Saccharomyces cerevisiae S288C: one gene and its partners. The protein of the gene in region 1 interacts with the protein of each later gene in a biochemical or structural test. Each region holds a gene or a part of one and is shown on either strand. Other genes may lie near its edges.

Evidence for each region.
Region 2: the proteins of PPZ1 (region 1) and SIS2 form a complex in vitro, tested with the Saccharomyces cerevisiae proteins (7 studies listed by BioGRID).
Region 3: the proteins of PPZ1 (region 1) and YPI1 form a complex in vitro, tested with the Saccharomyces cerevisiae proteins (one study listed by BioGRID).

Annotation. Positions count from the first base shown.
Region 1 is NC_001145.3:235,493-244,195, reverse strand, and holds PPZ1 (salt homeostasis regulator), read left to right. Parts: upstream 1-2,659; coding exon 2,660-4,738; downstream 4,739-8,703. Other genes in the region: UBX2 (Ubx2p), read right to left, coding at 1-47; TRM9 (tRNA (carboxymethyluridine(34)-5-O)-methyltransferase), read right to left, coding at 132-971; TATA-binding protein-associated factor TAF11, read left to right, coding at 1,167-2,207; PSP2 (Psp2p), read right to left, coding at 5,465-7,242, 7,605-7,608; YML018C (uncharacterized protein), read left to right, coding at 8,244-8,703. UniProt on the Saccharomyces cerevisiae protein: Essential for the maintenance of cell size and integrity in response to osmotic stress.
Region 2 is NC_001143.9:575,935-579,743, forward strand, and holds SIS2 (phosphopantothenoylcysteine decarboxylase complex subunit SIS2), read right to left. Parts: upstream 2,190-3,809; coding exon 501-2,189; downstream 1-500. Other genes in the region: electron carrier DRE2, read right to left, coding at 1-46; YKR073C (uncharacterized protein), read right to left, coding at 2,253-2,573; AIM29 (Aim29p), read left to right, coding at 3,275-3,742. UniProt on the Saccharomyces cerevisiae protein: Component of the phosphopantothenoylcysteine decarboxylase (PPCDC) involved in the coenzyme A synthesis. Acts as an inhibitory subunit of protein phosphatase PPZ1, which is involved in many cellular processes such as G1-S transition or salt tolerance.
Region 3 is NC_001138.5:152,157-154,832, forward strand, and holds YPI1 (type 1 protein phosphatase-activating protein YPI1), read right to left. Parts: upstream 969-2,676; coding exon 501-968; downstream 1-500. Other genes in the region: linker nucleoporin NIC96, read left to right, coding at 1-379; proteasome regulatory particle lid subunit RPN11, read left to right, coding at 1,237-2,157; mRNA splicing protein SAD1, read right to left, coding at 2,371-2,676.

The DNA of each region.
Region 1 (8,703 bases):
GTGTGCGAAAGGTGAAATTCACTATCCTCATGATTGACTACTGGCATCTTCGATTACACTATGAAAGCTATTACATACTTCTATCGTAATACCTGCTGCTACAAAATACACTGTCTACCTATATATCACCTTCATCTCTTCTGGGCCACCACCCACCAATTGTCGCGCTCGAAGCCCTCACTATGAACGGCAGCCCCAGCTTGGCGGCAATCCTCAGCCAATTCGCCCTCTCGGTATAAGTGATAGTATCGGTATTTTACCTCTTCTCTTTCCTGTTCTTGATCTTGTTGTTGCTTCTCGTCGTTATCATCAAGAGACTTACTGCGTTGCTGTTCCTCCTTCCAGCGCTGCAAGTATTCGGAACGCTCCTTTGGGGGAATATTCATTAAGTTTGGCTTTGGCCTTGTCTTGACTTTAGCAGGCGGCGTTGATTTAGTTTTTGGTTTGGATTTACTCTTGGGAAGAACCCAGGGGACAAAGACATCTTGCTCCATACCTTCATGGTAACCTCTACGGGAGCTGCCCTGTTCTAGAGCCCAACAATATATTAATGCTTGTCCGCCCTGACGTAGCTTCGATAGAACGTGCCTGATCACCTCAACACGTCTCTCCCTTGTAGACCAGTGATGCACTACAGCAATTGAGATGGCGAAGTCAAATGTTTCGTTTTTGTGTGGTAAGTTCAGCCCGTCTGCCACCAGTAAGTTGTACGATGGGTTTATTCCTCTGGCGCACTCAATAAGACCATCTGAGCGATCTGAACCGATAATATATATATCAGGGTTCACTCCGAGGTACTTTCCATTGCCACACCCGACGTCGATACCGATGGAACCCATTGGGCGAGTCTTCAAGAACTGAGTCACTATGGGCCATGGCTTATATCTAGTTTGCGAGAAATGCGGAGCTATCTCATTATACACTTTGTGAACATACTCCTGTTCTTTTTCAGCCGCTTGGTTTATCTCCATGTTGGTTCTTAACCTTTTATTTCTTGGCTCTTCGAGACCTCATCTCTGTTCAGTTCATTACCGAATTTTTTCTCTTATTCCCATTTCTTCGACTGAAAAGTTGAAAGAAATTGAAAAATCAAGAAGAGGTATATAGAGATAATTATCCATATAAATGAAGAGCACAAAGTAAGTTTGAGCTTCAACAGCGCAACGATGACCGAACCTCAAGGTCCTTTGGACACCATCCCGAAAGTGAACTATCCGCCAATACTGACAATAGCAAACTATTTTTCCACAAAACAAATGATTGACCAAGTCATCAGTGAGGACCAGGACTACGTTACGTGGAAATTGCAAAACCTGCGAACGGGTGGTACATCAATCAACAACCAATTAAATAAATATCCAAAATACAAATACCAGAAAACCAGGATAAATCAGCAAGACCCGGACTCTATCAACAAAGTCCCAGAAAACCTGATCTTTCCACAAGACATTTTACAACAGCAAACACAAAATAGCAATTACGAAGACACCAATACCAACGAAGATGAAAATGAAAAACTTGCGCAGGACGAACAATTCAAGCTCTTGGTAACCAACTTGGATAAAGATCAAACTAATCGGTTTGAAGTTTTCCATAGAACATCCCTAAACAAAACCCAGGTCAAAAAACTGGCTAGCACAGTAGCTAATCAAACTATAAGTGAAAATATTCGTGTTTTTCTGCAAGCGGTGGGAAAAATATACGCTGGTGAGATAATCGAATTGGCCATGATTGTGAAGAATAAGTGGTTGACAAGTCAAATGTGCATAGAGTTTGATAAGAGGACCAAAATAGGCTATAAATTGAAAAAATATCTAAAAAAATTGACTTTCTCCATCATAGAAAACCAGCAATACAAGCAAGATTATCAATCCGATAGCGTTCCCGAAGACGAACCTGATTTCTACTTCGACGATGAAGAAGTAGACAAGCGCGAAACTACGCTGGGCAACTCGTTGCTACAGTCCAAATCCTTACAGCAATCAGACCATAATTCACAGGACTTGAAGCTACAACTCATCGAGCAGTACAATAAGCTCGTCCTCCAATTCAACAAACTAGATGTAAGCATCGAGAAATATAACAACAGTCCCTTATTGCCCGAACACATCCGTGAGGCGTGGAGACTCTACCGTCTGCAGTCGGACACTTTGCCTAACGCTTACTGGAGAACTCAAGGAGAAGGGCAGGGATCCATGTTCAGATAGCTGCCCATAATTGTCCAACGGCTCCAACATATATCAATCTATATATAAACATATATATAATTTTTAACATGTCGTTTGAAATGACATGTCTATTTTTAAAAGGATAGCATATAAATTAATGAAAAAAAAAAAAAGAAAACGATTACTGCAGATCTTCTAATTCTGTTAATCAGCTTTCTCTTGTGAACCATTGGCAGGTGGGTAACATAAAAGCACAATACAATAGCTTCCATTATTAGTTTTGTTTGTTTTGGCAATACATGTTAAATCTTTTTCTTTCAAGTTAAATATAAAGATTATATATAAAAGTACTTCTTTGGAATACATTTGATTATACTTTTCTTTATCGTTTTATTTTTATTTCATCGTTATAGTCGCTTCTTTTCCCCTAGAGGCTTTGTCATAAAACAACAAATCAACCACTCTCTGCTTATCTTTCCTTCCTTTTCAAAATGGGTAATTCAAGTTCAAAATCTTCGAAAAAGGATTCACATTCGAATTCCTCCTCGAGAAATCCTCGTCCTCAAGTGTCGAGAACCGAGACTTCCCATTCTGTGAAGTCTGCAAAATCAAATAAATCTTCAAGATCAAGGCGATCTCTTCCTTCTTCGTCCACTACGAATACTAATTCAAACGTCCCTGATCCCTCCACTCCATCAAAGCCCAATCTTGAGGTTAATCACCAACGACATAGCTCTCACACGAATCGTTACCATTTCCCATCTAGCTCACACTCGCATTCAAATTCTCAAAACGAATTGTTAACTACTCCTTCATCATCCTCTACTAAGAGGCCTTCTACTTCTAGAAGATCAAGTTATAATACTAAGGCTGCTGCTGATTTACCACCTTCAATGATCCAAATGGAACCCAAGTCACCCATTTTAAAAACAAACAATAGTAGCACACACGTATCCAAGCATAAATCTTCATACTCATCTACCTATTATGAGAACGCCTTAACCGATGATGACAATGATGATAAAGACAACGACATCTCGCACACTAAAAGGTTTTCTAGATCTTCGAATTCTCGTCCGTCCAGTATAAGAAGCGGATCAGTGTCAAGAAGGAAATCAGATGTGACCCATGAAGAGCCTAACAATGGATCATACTCCTCTAACAATCAGGAGAATTATCTCGTTCAGGCATTAACCCGGTCAAATTCTCATGCATCTTCGCTACACAGTAGGAAATCTTCGTTTGGATCAGATGGTAATACCGCATACAGCACCCCATTAAACTCTCCAGGCTTGTCCAAGCTAACAGATCACTCTGGTGAATACTTTACCTCTAATTCAACCTCCTCATTGAATCACCATTCAAGTCGCGATATTTACCCGAGCAAACACATCAGCAATGATGATGACATTGAAAATTCATCTCAATTGAGTAATATCCATGCATCAATGGAAAATGTTAATGATAAAAATAATAATATAACAGATAGCAAAAAAGATCCGAATGAGGAATTTAATGATATAATGCAATCTTCCGGAAACAAAAACGCTCCAAAAAAATTCAAAAAGCCTATCGATATTGATGAAACTATCCAAAAATTACTGGATGCGGGCTACGCTGCTAAGAGAACAAAAAATGTTTGTTTGAAGAACAATGAAATTTTACAGATTTGCATCAAGGCTCGTGAAATCTTTCTTTCTCAACCTTCCTTATTAGAATTATCACCTCCTGTAAAAATTGTAGGCGACGTTCATGGCCAATATGGGGATCTCTTAAGGCTTTTTACCAAATGTGGGTTCCCACCATCCTCGAACTATTTATTCCTAGGTGATTATGTGGACCGTGGTAAACAGTCACTGGAGACTATTTTACTATTGTTTTGTTACAAAATAAAATACCCTGAAAATTTCTTTTTATTGAGAGGCAACCATGAATGTGCTAACGTCACAAGGGTTTATGGATTTTATGATGAATGTAAACGTCGTTGTAACATCAAGATCTGGAAGACATTCATCGATACTTTTAATACATTACCATTAGCTGCTATCGTAGCCGGAAAGATTTTTTGTGTTCATGGTGGATTGTCGCCAGTTTTAAATTCTATGGATGAAATCAGACATGTAGTTAGGCCTACTGATGTACCAGATTTTGGCTTAATTAATGATCTTTTGTGGTCCGATCCCACAGATTCACCCAACGAATGGGAGGATAACGAACGTGGTGTAAGTTACTGTTATAATAAGGTGGCAATTAACAAATTCTTGAACAAGTTTGGGTTTGATTTGGTTTGTAGAGCTCACATGGTTGTGGAAGACGGTTATGAATTTTTCAATGATAGAAGTCTCGTTACGGTGTTTTCCGCGCCAAATTATTGTGGTGAATTTGATAATTGGGGGGCTGTAATGAGCGTCAGCGAAGGTTTATTGTGCTCTTTTGAATTGTTAGATCCACTAGATAGTGCAGCTTTGAAGCAAGTTATGAAGAAAGGTAGACAGGAAAGAAAACTGGCTAATCAACAACAGCAAATGATGGAAACAAGCATCACAAATGATAACGAATCTCAACAGTAAATTTACTGACTAAAAAATCCAGAAGTATTATATTCATTATTTCATGAACAACTCAACGATGTACATATGCACATATATATATATATATATATATATATATATATGAAAGACAGGAAATAGAAGTTCCCTATCTTTTTCTTAATGACATTAAAAAACTTCCTTTCATCGCCTACTGCCTTCGCGTGTGTATTGAATGCTCATTCGCTCTATACAATCTAGAACTCTCCGAAATTTCGTTCTACTTTGCTTTCGCTATATTAAGCTGTTTATATAAATTACGTAATGGTATATAGTCATATAGCTAAATTCAATGGTTCGTTTCTATAGATTGGTTCTCCTTAATTTTAATTTTTTATTGCGTATAACGTGAGAGATTATTTTCAACCCCCCCAATACTTACGAAACTTCATAAAACTTCTTTAAGAAATAAGGGCCTATAAAAATTGTGAACTAATCAAGAGAAAATATATAATCAAAATTGATTAATCAGAAAGACGAATTTTTTTTAAAAAAAAAATTCAAAACAACTGAAGGGGAAATGGACAAAAAGCAGCATAAGTAGTAAAAAGTGGAAACAAAATAAGGTCAAAAAAATCTGAGAGGAAAAGGAACGCTATATTACATTACTCAGAACTGCGTAACCGACTAGAACAAAAAAAGGAAATAGAGGAAAAAAAAAAAAAAAAAAAAAAAAGAGAAAAGAAAATTAATGGGTCAGTACATGACTCATAAAGGCATGTCTGTTGTTCTGTTATTGTAGTTGGAGTAGTTACCGCTGCTTCCACGTCCACCACGACTACCTCGATTGTTATATGCGCCTCTGCCAAATCCCCTTCCTCTGCCAAATCCTCTTCCTCTCGAACCTCCATTCATACCGCTGCTGTTATAGTTACCGCGTCCATTGTTCCTTATAGAATCATTATTACCTTGGCCAAGGAACCCACTTGCTGGTTTGAAAATGGAATATTGTTGTGTATTGGATGTTGAGTTCGTGAAATCATTCTTTTTATTTCCTGAGGCATCTAAAGATGAATCCGAGGTTAACCCTTCTTCATTGTTTTGTCGATCATGATATCTTGAACCGTTATTATTATTACTACTACTATTATTATTATTATTATTATTATCATTAGTGTTGTTGTTGTTGTTGTTGTATGAGCTGCCACCACGATATCCGCCGCGATTACCACGATTGTTATGCCCACCTTTATAACTGCTGCCATTGGGGCCTCCACGATATCTATTACTCCCTCTAAAATTGCCATTATTGTTATTATGGTTTCCGTTATATTTGGTTCTGCTCATACTATGTTCCCTTTCCACATTCTTGAAAGTGAACTGTTTATCAACATCGGTTTCTGAACCTTTATCTTTATCATTTGAGACATCTAATTGAGCTTTATCGTCGCCACCTTTCTCAAAGCCTTGTTCATCGCCACCTTTGAACTCGTCCGATTTATCGGGCTTAGATTGTAGTTCAAGAGCTGGTGAGTCAAGCTTGCTTAATGGAGTTCCTTTCTTGGAAGTTTCATTGACCACAGATCTCTCAACTACTTCAGAGTAACTTAAAGGTTTGGGAGTTGGGGTTGCAGAATGTGATTCCTCCTCTGTAGGTGTCTGCTTTTTCAAGATTGTGATCTTGCTGCCTGTTGCAGTGGTTGCCATAGAATCACTACTAGGGATTAATGATGCCCTCAGGGTTGTTGTATCTTCCACGTGTAAATTTTCCATTTTTTCTTCAATGTCCAAAATCTTCGATTGCGTATCAACCGGTTTAGCACTTCCAAAAGGATTGGATTTTGACCGCTGAGTCTTAGTAATGAATGGTTTGCCAGCATCGTCTTTAGGGTCTGTTAATAATTTCACCTTCGTGCTGTAATCCTTAAAATCTTCGAATTCTGCGGGCGCTGTTGTAATGTGGTAAATTTCCTTCAAAGGAGTGGTCCAATAGTTCAAAATTTTGTCCATATCACGGGATGTATATAACTCGACAAATGCTACCTTCGAGTCACGTTTGAAATTTTGATCAAAGATTGACCCCGATTTCAAAGTAGAAATACTTGGATTTTTATTTATCTCCCAAAACAGTTTGAACTTAATAAACTTGGTAAACTTTGCTTGAAAAAGATCTTCAATGTCAAAGTTGGAAAATCTCGGTGGTAAATCAGAAAACTTCACAATATAAGGAGGACCTTGCTGATGCTGCAGCGGGTGGTGATGATTTGCAAAGTCCCCCATGCTACCACCACCAAAAGGCCCTGCATTAGAAAAACGTGATCTGTTCATGGGTCCATGACCACCGTGTGGGTGCTGTTGGTGACCATCACGTTGATGTTCGCCTGCCTTGGTTTGTTTCAAGATGTCAATATTCGTAGTATTGCTTATAGCATCCAAATTAATATCTTCCTCATCCCATACTGACTCGCCTAAAGTGTCGTTCCCTAGAAATTCTTCTAGGGACATTTTCTTCGTAGTGCCATTATTATTAGATGTATTATTTGTTCCTGAATAGAAACATATGTAGACAATTCCGTGACTTTCTCTTCTTTGCGGAAAACCAAGCTGATTAGAGAAAGCAAAAACATTGCAAGACCATGTCTAATCAGCTTGATTTTTAGAGAAACGATAAAAAAGAAGAAAAGAGGCCAAGAGAGAGCATTGTTCAATTGTTAGTGGCTATTTAAACTTGATCTATTTTCTTAAAAATCCACATGAATATTATATCCTCTTTCATGCAATAATTCCTACGTATGACTGAAACAGAAGAAAATAGTAAACATAAAATACTAAAACAAAAAAAAAAAAGGAAACAAAAGAGGACCGTTATGGATCAAAAGGGGTTAATGAGAAAAACCGAGGCACATACCCATTTCTTCCCGTTCCAGCACTCTATGTGATTAAGATCGAGTGAGCAAACGTGTTTTTCTAGGATGATTTCTTGACCAATTCTTTGTGGAGATAAGCTTTAAAGTCTGAAGAACGTATCTCTGTAGTTCTTCTGTCTCATTTAAAATAACCCAAAATTTCCGAAATTTCAGTGCAGCTCAACCCTAAATTAGACCTAATTGAAATCAGTAGGGTTAGCTCGTATTTGAAATATTACAAAACAAGTCCTATAAAACTCTAATCTTAACCCTTATGTTAGATTTTCAGCACGTGATTTTGCATCTTTTTTAGTTTTGCTTAAAAAATTTTGACCTCTACCTTTTCTCTCTCTGTTTAATCAGGTAATAAAAAGTTCAGCCAAAAAGTGTGGTTGTGAAATTTTATTCTGGCGATGCGCAATCGGAGTCTTTTCTATTTCTTGCAACTCGCAGAAGAAAAGGTATTTTACTACATAAATTGTATATATTCCTTCTCAGGATCAGCAACATAAGATATTGGCTTTGATATTATATTGCATCTTATTGCATTGTGTGTTGTGGTTAAGACAAATAAATAAAGGAAGTTTCTTCTTTTTTTTCCTTCCTTTTTTTCCTCTCTCAGATAAAAGTTCAACAGAGCCATGGTGTCGAAGGATCAAACGTCCTTTAATAAGAGGTGGACCTTGGGTCTTCTGATGTTGGGTCTAGTCATTATTTTGTGGGTTTTATCGTCCTTCCTGATAAATTTGATCTTCGAGGATGACTCGTATAGAAAACCATTCTTTATCACGTACACCAATACTGCCGCCTTTATCTTTTATCTTTTTCCAACTGCAAAGGCCGTTGTGGTGAATTACAAGGACACAGGCCGTGCAAACGTTCACCGCGAACTAATTATGGAGGAAGAAGGTACTGGTAGTGATAGCAATCGCTCGGTTGATATGACTAGCCCACTGCTTACAAACCTTGAAGCAGGCACGCATGCCAACCAAAAGAAGAGGCTAACGTTATATGAAACAATCAAGTTAAGTGCTGAGTTCTGCATACTTTGGTTCACAGCTAACCTTGTGACCAATGCCTCGCTGGCATTCACATCGGTGG
Region 2 (3,809 bases), on another chromosome or scaffold:
TCACCGCCGGATGTATTAAAAGTAAACCAGTTTTGTATTGTGACATCGATACCTTCACTTACAGTGTATATGCTTAGATCAAATGTGATGAAAGACTTCTGCTTAGAATACCTTTTTAATATGTCATGAAATTAAATGATTACTAATCATTTCTTTTTTTTATTTTTTTTTTCCAGAAGCTTTTGAATAGTATCGGACTTATTCCGGTACCGGGATATGTCAAAAAAAGAAAAATGAGAAACGAATAGATATTTACCCAGAAAGTAATGAATGTATTTAATGAATTACTGAATTATTAAAATTAGTAATAAATAGCGGTTTATATGAAGAGCTCTATGTACGCTAGTATGGCATTACATACCTACTGCAAGTAAAAAAGGAAAAAAATTTGTGACATTTTGTAAATATGCTGCGTGAATTTGCCTAATGAGTATTTTTCCAGAAATTACAAAACACAAATAAGTAGAATGTGTTTAGTGTATTTGTAATTCATAGACTATTTATTGATGCTTATCTATTATACCTGGGGTTTCTGCTTCGTCCTCGTCCTCGTCATCATCGTCGTCGTCGTCGTCGTCGTCGTCGTCGTCGTCGTCGTCATCGTCGTCATCGTCATCATCATCGTTGTTGTTTTCGTTCTTATCTTCTGTATCTTCTTCTTCGTCGTCGTCTTCTTCCTCATCCTCATCATCGTCCTCTTCCTCGTTATTTTTTGGGTACCCACCCAATTTCATAACGATTTTGTTAACAATCTCATTCCAGTCCATCATACCCCCGAGACCAATATCACCATTTATATCCATAACTTTCTCAGACGGCTTGAAAACAGTGACCCAGGACATTTCCTCCTTTATCGTTTGTAGTTGCTTCTTTGTCATCATAGAATTAAAAGTGCTACTCACCATAGAAGGTGCCAAAAGAATGGGATAACTCGGATTCCAAGCTCTAATGACACTTGTCAGAAGATTGTCGCACAGGCCCAAAGCAATTTTTGATAATGTGTTTGCAGTTAATGGAGCTACTACCAGTATATCCGCCCAGCGACGTAGTTCTATATGAAGTACAGGATCAGTTCGTTGTTTCCATGCGTCCCATTCATCTTGGTCGGTCCATAGTTGAATATGTGGGGGTAACTCGACTACTTGAGCCATGTTGCATTGTCCTGGTGTTGGTGTCACTGGAGTTGCCGGAGTGGATTCGTACTGCGACATTTTATTTAGTTTTTCTGAAGATTTGATAATTTTCTTGGTATATCTTTGTTCGAAAAACTGTGTTGCTGATTGAGTGAGGATAACTTGAATGCTTATTCTATCACGTCCATATATTTCTTCTAGTTTTTTAATCATTGGCTTGATCTTAAATACCGATAACGAACCTGTAGCGCCAAACAACACGTGCAATTTTCCATCATCTTGAGGTAGTCTGGGATCCAAATTCTTGGAGTTCTCTCTTTTGGGGATGATGGAAGGAATGACGGACTGCTTCACTGGCGTTTCTTCCGGGGTAGAACGCACATTAATTTGGCCTGAAACATTGTTAGCTTGATCTTGTGCATCTTCCTTTCGAAGTGTAATACTGGTGGGGGCTTTGGCGGTTACCTTATTATTTTCTCTACTTATTGGCGTTGAAGTGGCCATGATTTTGTCAGGCTTCATGGTATCAACTATTTTAAGAGCACTGTCTTTTTTCTTAGGATCATAATCTTTCATTTCGTTGACGAGTGGAGACCCAGATAATTGCGTTGTTCTTGAAGTGTTGGTGTGGTTCGGTATAACTGCATGATTGCCAGGAATGGAATTTGAGACAGGAGCAGGATTACTATTTGGAGACTTGGTCCTTTCTGAGTCGTTCTTCAGCTGAGTCAGACTATCCTGCTTTTGCTGTTGCTTTAGATCACTGAAAGTGACGGCGGGGACTCTCTTCAAACCAGGCTCCGGAGTATTACTTACTACTGCGCCGGAGGTGCCGGTGGCATTCATAATAGATTTCGTAGTCGTGGTAGTAGCATTCGACAAAGTAGGGCTTATTGATTGCCTCCCTGACACGGGGGAGTTGATTATTGAATCCTTCCCCTTCGCATCCTCATGGTCCAACAAAATCTCTTTCTGTCCACGCGAAAACCTTGGACACTCTATAGACTGGTTATGGTCAGCATCTTGCTTCCCGCTAGTAGAGGCGACGGCAGTCATTGCTGTTTGCTTCTAGATCTTTCTTCCCTATTAATTTTTTCCTAACTAATATTTCTTTATATTTTATCCCGGAATATAAAGTAGTATGACAGCAAAGAAGGCCAGGCTAAAAAAAGATCTCTCCAAATGTAACTGGACGGCGCTGATAAGTGGACAAGTACAAGTGAGGGATCGTGATCCAAGAGCACTCTGTGACTTCTTCTCCTCTAATATCACCTCCCCAGAAAAGCATCGATGCCATTTTTTGCAAGAGAAAAAGTTGCGTGCGTCACTGCCCACGAGCACATGGGGTGAGTTATATAACATAAGAATATTGCTTTGACTCATGTTAAAAGCAAAAGAAAAAATAATAATGATCATTAGAGATACATCAAAGACGATCATGGCATTAACCCAGGGTACGTGTGTTAGATATGATAGGGTACCCCGCGCGTATAAGTTACGCCTTGAATGATATAACACGTTAAAGTTTCTAGATCACGTGAATCATTACCATTTTTTAGGTCATCCTACGGATAATGGCGAAACCACATAATTGCTTTGTAGATCTCTTTTTATGCTGGATGGATGGCCCTCTGGAATGCATCCTTCACGAACACAATTTATGAAACCTCAGGTTTGATGCTCCGGAAAGCCTATTTCTCACGTTTTCCGGCACTTAATGCGCATATAAAAACATAGTCTCTACGTTACGAGGATTTATCATAGAACCCAAATCAGCAGTAATAAATTTCCACGGTCAAATTAAACTCTTGTCGTTGATATGGGTGTAGTGTGATGGTGGTGACCACTATTTCGCCTTTATTAGTTATTTATATGAGTTAGCCCTCCGAAGAACTCATCCTTGTTAGCTCAGTTGGTAGAGCGTTCGGCTTTTAAGCGCATTTGCTTAAGCAAGGATACCGAAATGTCAGGGGTTCGAGCCCCCTATGAGGAGTTCTTTACTTTTTTAGATTCGGCGTTCAATGCTAAAGAAAAAAAATGAAAATAAGTTTCAATTAATAGTGAAAGAAAAGGAAGGAAGTTAGAACTGAAATGCGTAGACTACCTCCCCCAAATTTTTTCTTGTTTGGTTGCATTATTTCATGAATTCAACTAAAAGGCTGAAAATGTCAACAACCTTTCATGATTATGACTTGGAAGAGCCATTAACCTCAAATGCCAGACCACTAAAGAACTCCGTTATTACAATCCGAGTAATAAAATCTTTCCCATATAGAAACGTCAAGAACATAGTGCTGCACGATTACGATCTTGCTGATAAAACTGCAAAGGACCTGTTCAATGACGTTTTGAACAAAATTCAAAATGAAGGTTCATTCAGACCATTCCGTAATGTTAAGTTTGATACTTTAAAGATATACACGCACGCACATGGTTCCAAGACGGTTAATCTCGTGATCAATTTTGACCACGATGACGACTGGACTTTAGACATAGAGAATGACAAAAAAAAGCTGTTCGAGTATGGCATTGAGAATGAAACCGAAATTTCGCTTTTCAACAAAGAGGATTACCTAAGGTTTAAAGAAAACCCTGAAGAAAAATGGTGAGATGTTGTTTGGCTTATGGCCTTCATTAATAAGTAAGTGCTATGAATATATTACATATATATATATA
Region 3 (2,676 bases), on another chromosome or scaffold:
TATGCTGCTCTTAAATATCTCCTCTATCAGGGAGCTATATTTCAATAAACAATGGCAAGAAACACTATCCCAAATGGAGTTATTGGATTTACTTCCTTTCTCAGACGAGCTATCTGCTAGAAAGAAAGCACAAGATTTCTCTAATTTAGATGACAACATTGTGAAAAATATTCCAAATTTGTTGATTATCACTCTAAGCTGTATATCGAACATGATTCATATCTTGAACGAAAGTAAGTATCAATCGTCCACAAAAGGTCAACAAATTGATTCCTTAAAAAATGTTGCGAGACAATGTATGATTTATGCTGGTATGATTCAATACAGAATGCCAAGGGAAACGTACAGCACTTTAATTAATATAGACGTCTCTCTATGATTTTTTTAAATATTGTATATTTTTGTTTATATCTATATATCAGTATGCGCGCATACTTAGTAAAAGTATAAAAAGCCATTTGCTGCTTCATCGAATATTTTGGCTTTCGTTGTACAAAGCCTCAGTCCTTCTTTTCCTGCTGTTTTCGCCTGTATTCAGAATAATCTGGTTGGATTTCATAAGCATTGGGGCTATATGACCTTTTTTTCTCAAGTTTACGATGGCGCCTTTCCAATCTTCTTTGTCTACGTTCGTTAAAGTCAAGATCCTTCTCATTCTCAGATTCTGAAGAAGAGGATCCGGAAGAAGAGGATCCATCATCATCTGAATGATGGTTGCACTCTTCTTCATCCTCATTTTGTGGATGAAAAATGCAGCATATCTTGGTCTTTTTTTTATTCATGTTTTCATTGTCAATCACATTTTCTTCCCATCTTACATTGTGCCTTGTAGGCATTGCCTCCTGGCTTCTTGGAGGATCTTGAGTTGCTCGAAGCTGCAAAACTGCGGGAACCTCTTCCACACTCACCGTTCGGGACCCTACGGTCTGTTGTTGTTCTGATCCCATAGCCATTTGATTTCCACTCATCCTTATAGACTTAATTGAAGACTTAGCTCGCAACTCCTGGCAGTTATAAGCTCTTGGGACCCTTGACTCGAATTGTTTCTAAATGATAAATACGGCCCCTTGTTTATACTGAAACGCACGTCGCTGATGATTTCGGACCTCCAAGGTGGCAAATTCACAAGAAAAGCCTTTAAGCTAAGAAACGGTTTATGACCAGTATTAATATTGAGAAAGAAAAATAGCAGGTGATAACACAATTAAGAGGACTTAACAAGAAAGACGAGACATAATGGAACGACTACAGAGATTGATGATGAATAGTAAGGTGGGGTCCGCGGACACCGGCCGTGACGATACGAAAGAAACTGTTTATATTTCTTCGATTGCGCTTTTAAAGATGCTAAAGCATGGTAGAGCTGGTGTTCCCATGGAAGTCATGGGGTTGATGTTAGGTGAGTTTGTCGATGATTATACGGTTAACGTTGTGGACGTGTTTGCGATGCCTCAATCGGGTACCGGAGTTTCTGTTGAGGCTGTCGATGATGTTTTCCAAGCGAAGATGATGGACATGTTAAAACAAACGGGCAGAGACCAAATGGTCGTTGGCTGGTACCACTCTCATCCAGGGTTTGGCTGTTGGCTATCTTCTGTTGATGTTAATACTCAAAAATCTTTTGAACAACTAAACAGCAGAGCTGTTGCTGTCGTTGTTGACCCTATTCAATCCGTTAAGGGAAAAGTTGTCATCGATGCTTTTAGATTGATTGACACGGGCGCATTGATAAATAACTTAGAGCCTAGACAAACAACCTCCAACACAGGCTTATTGAACAAGGCCAACATTCAAGCCTTAATTCACGGTCTGAATAGGCATTACTATTCTTTAAATATTGATTATCATAAAACCGCGAAGGAAACCAAGATGTTAATGAACTTACATAAAGAACAGTGGCAATCAGGTCTTAAGATGTACGATTATGAAGAAAAAGAAGAATCAAATTTGGCTGCTACAAAGAGTATGGTTAAGATAGCCGAACAGTACTCTAAGAGAATAGAAGAGGAAAAGGAATTAACCGAAGAAGAACTTAAGACAAGATACGTTGGTAGGCAAGATCCAAAGAAGCACCTTTCCGAAACAGCAGATGAGACACTAGAGAACAATATTGTTTCTGTGCTGACGGCGGGTGTTAATTCAGTGGCAATTAAATAAACAAATTTTATAAAGTCATTATGCATTAAATAACTAGAAAGCCCACTACATATATATTATATTGTATTTTTCTAAAAATTCTAATGAAGTAGTTAATGGAATGAATGGGAAAGAGAAAACGCGTTAGGAGGGAAAAGGCTCCTTAAATAACAGTAAAAATGAAATGGCTACTGGTAGTCCCAGTGCCAATTTTTTTTTTTACTTTCTTTTCTTTCACTCTTGCTTTTCCCATACTTGTATAAACGTTTCCTTCAAAAATAAAAGCTCGGCTTCTCTCTCTGTCGTATTTATGCCATCTATTTCTATCCATTTTTCACTTTTGTTATCATACAGCTGAGTAATCCAATGGCTTTTTTCATCACCATTAAATGCGTTTCCATCTGTGGATGGTTGTTTAATGACCACATGGACCACATTTGCTTTTAAGCGATACTTGACGTGCAAAATTTCAAGTTCACTGGAAAATTCCACCAACGTTTGGTTTCTATTTTTGACAGGATGATCACTGTTACGGTCAAA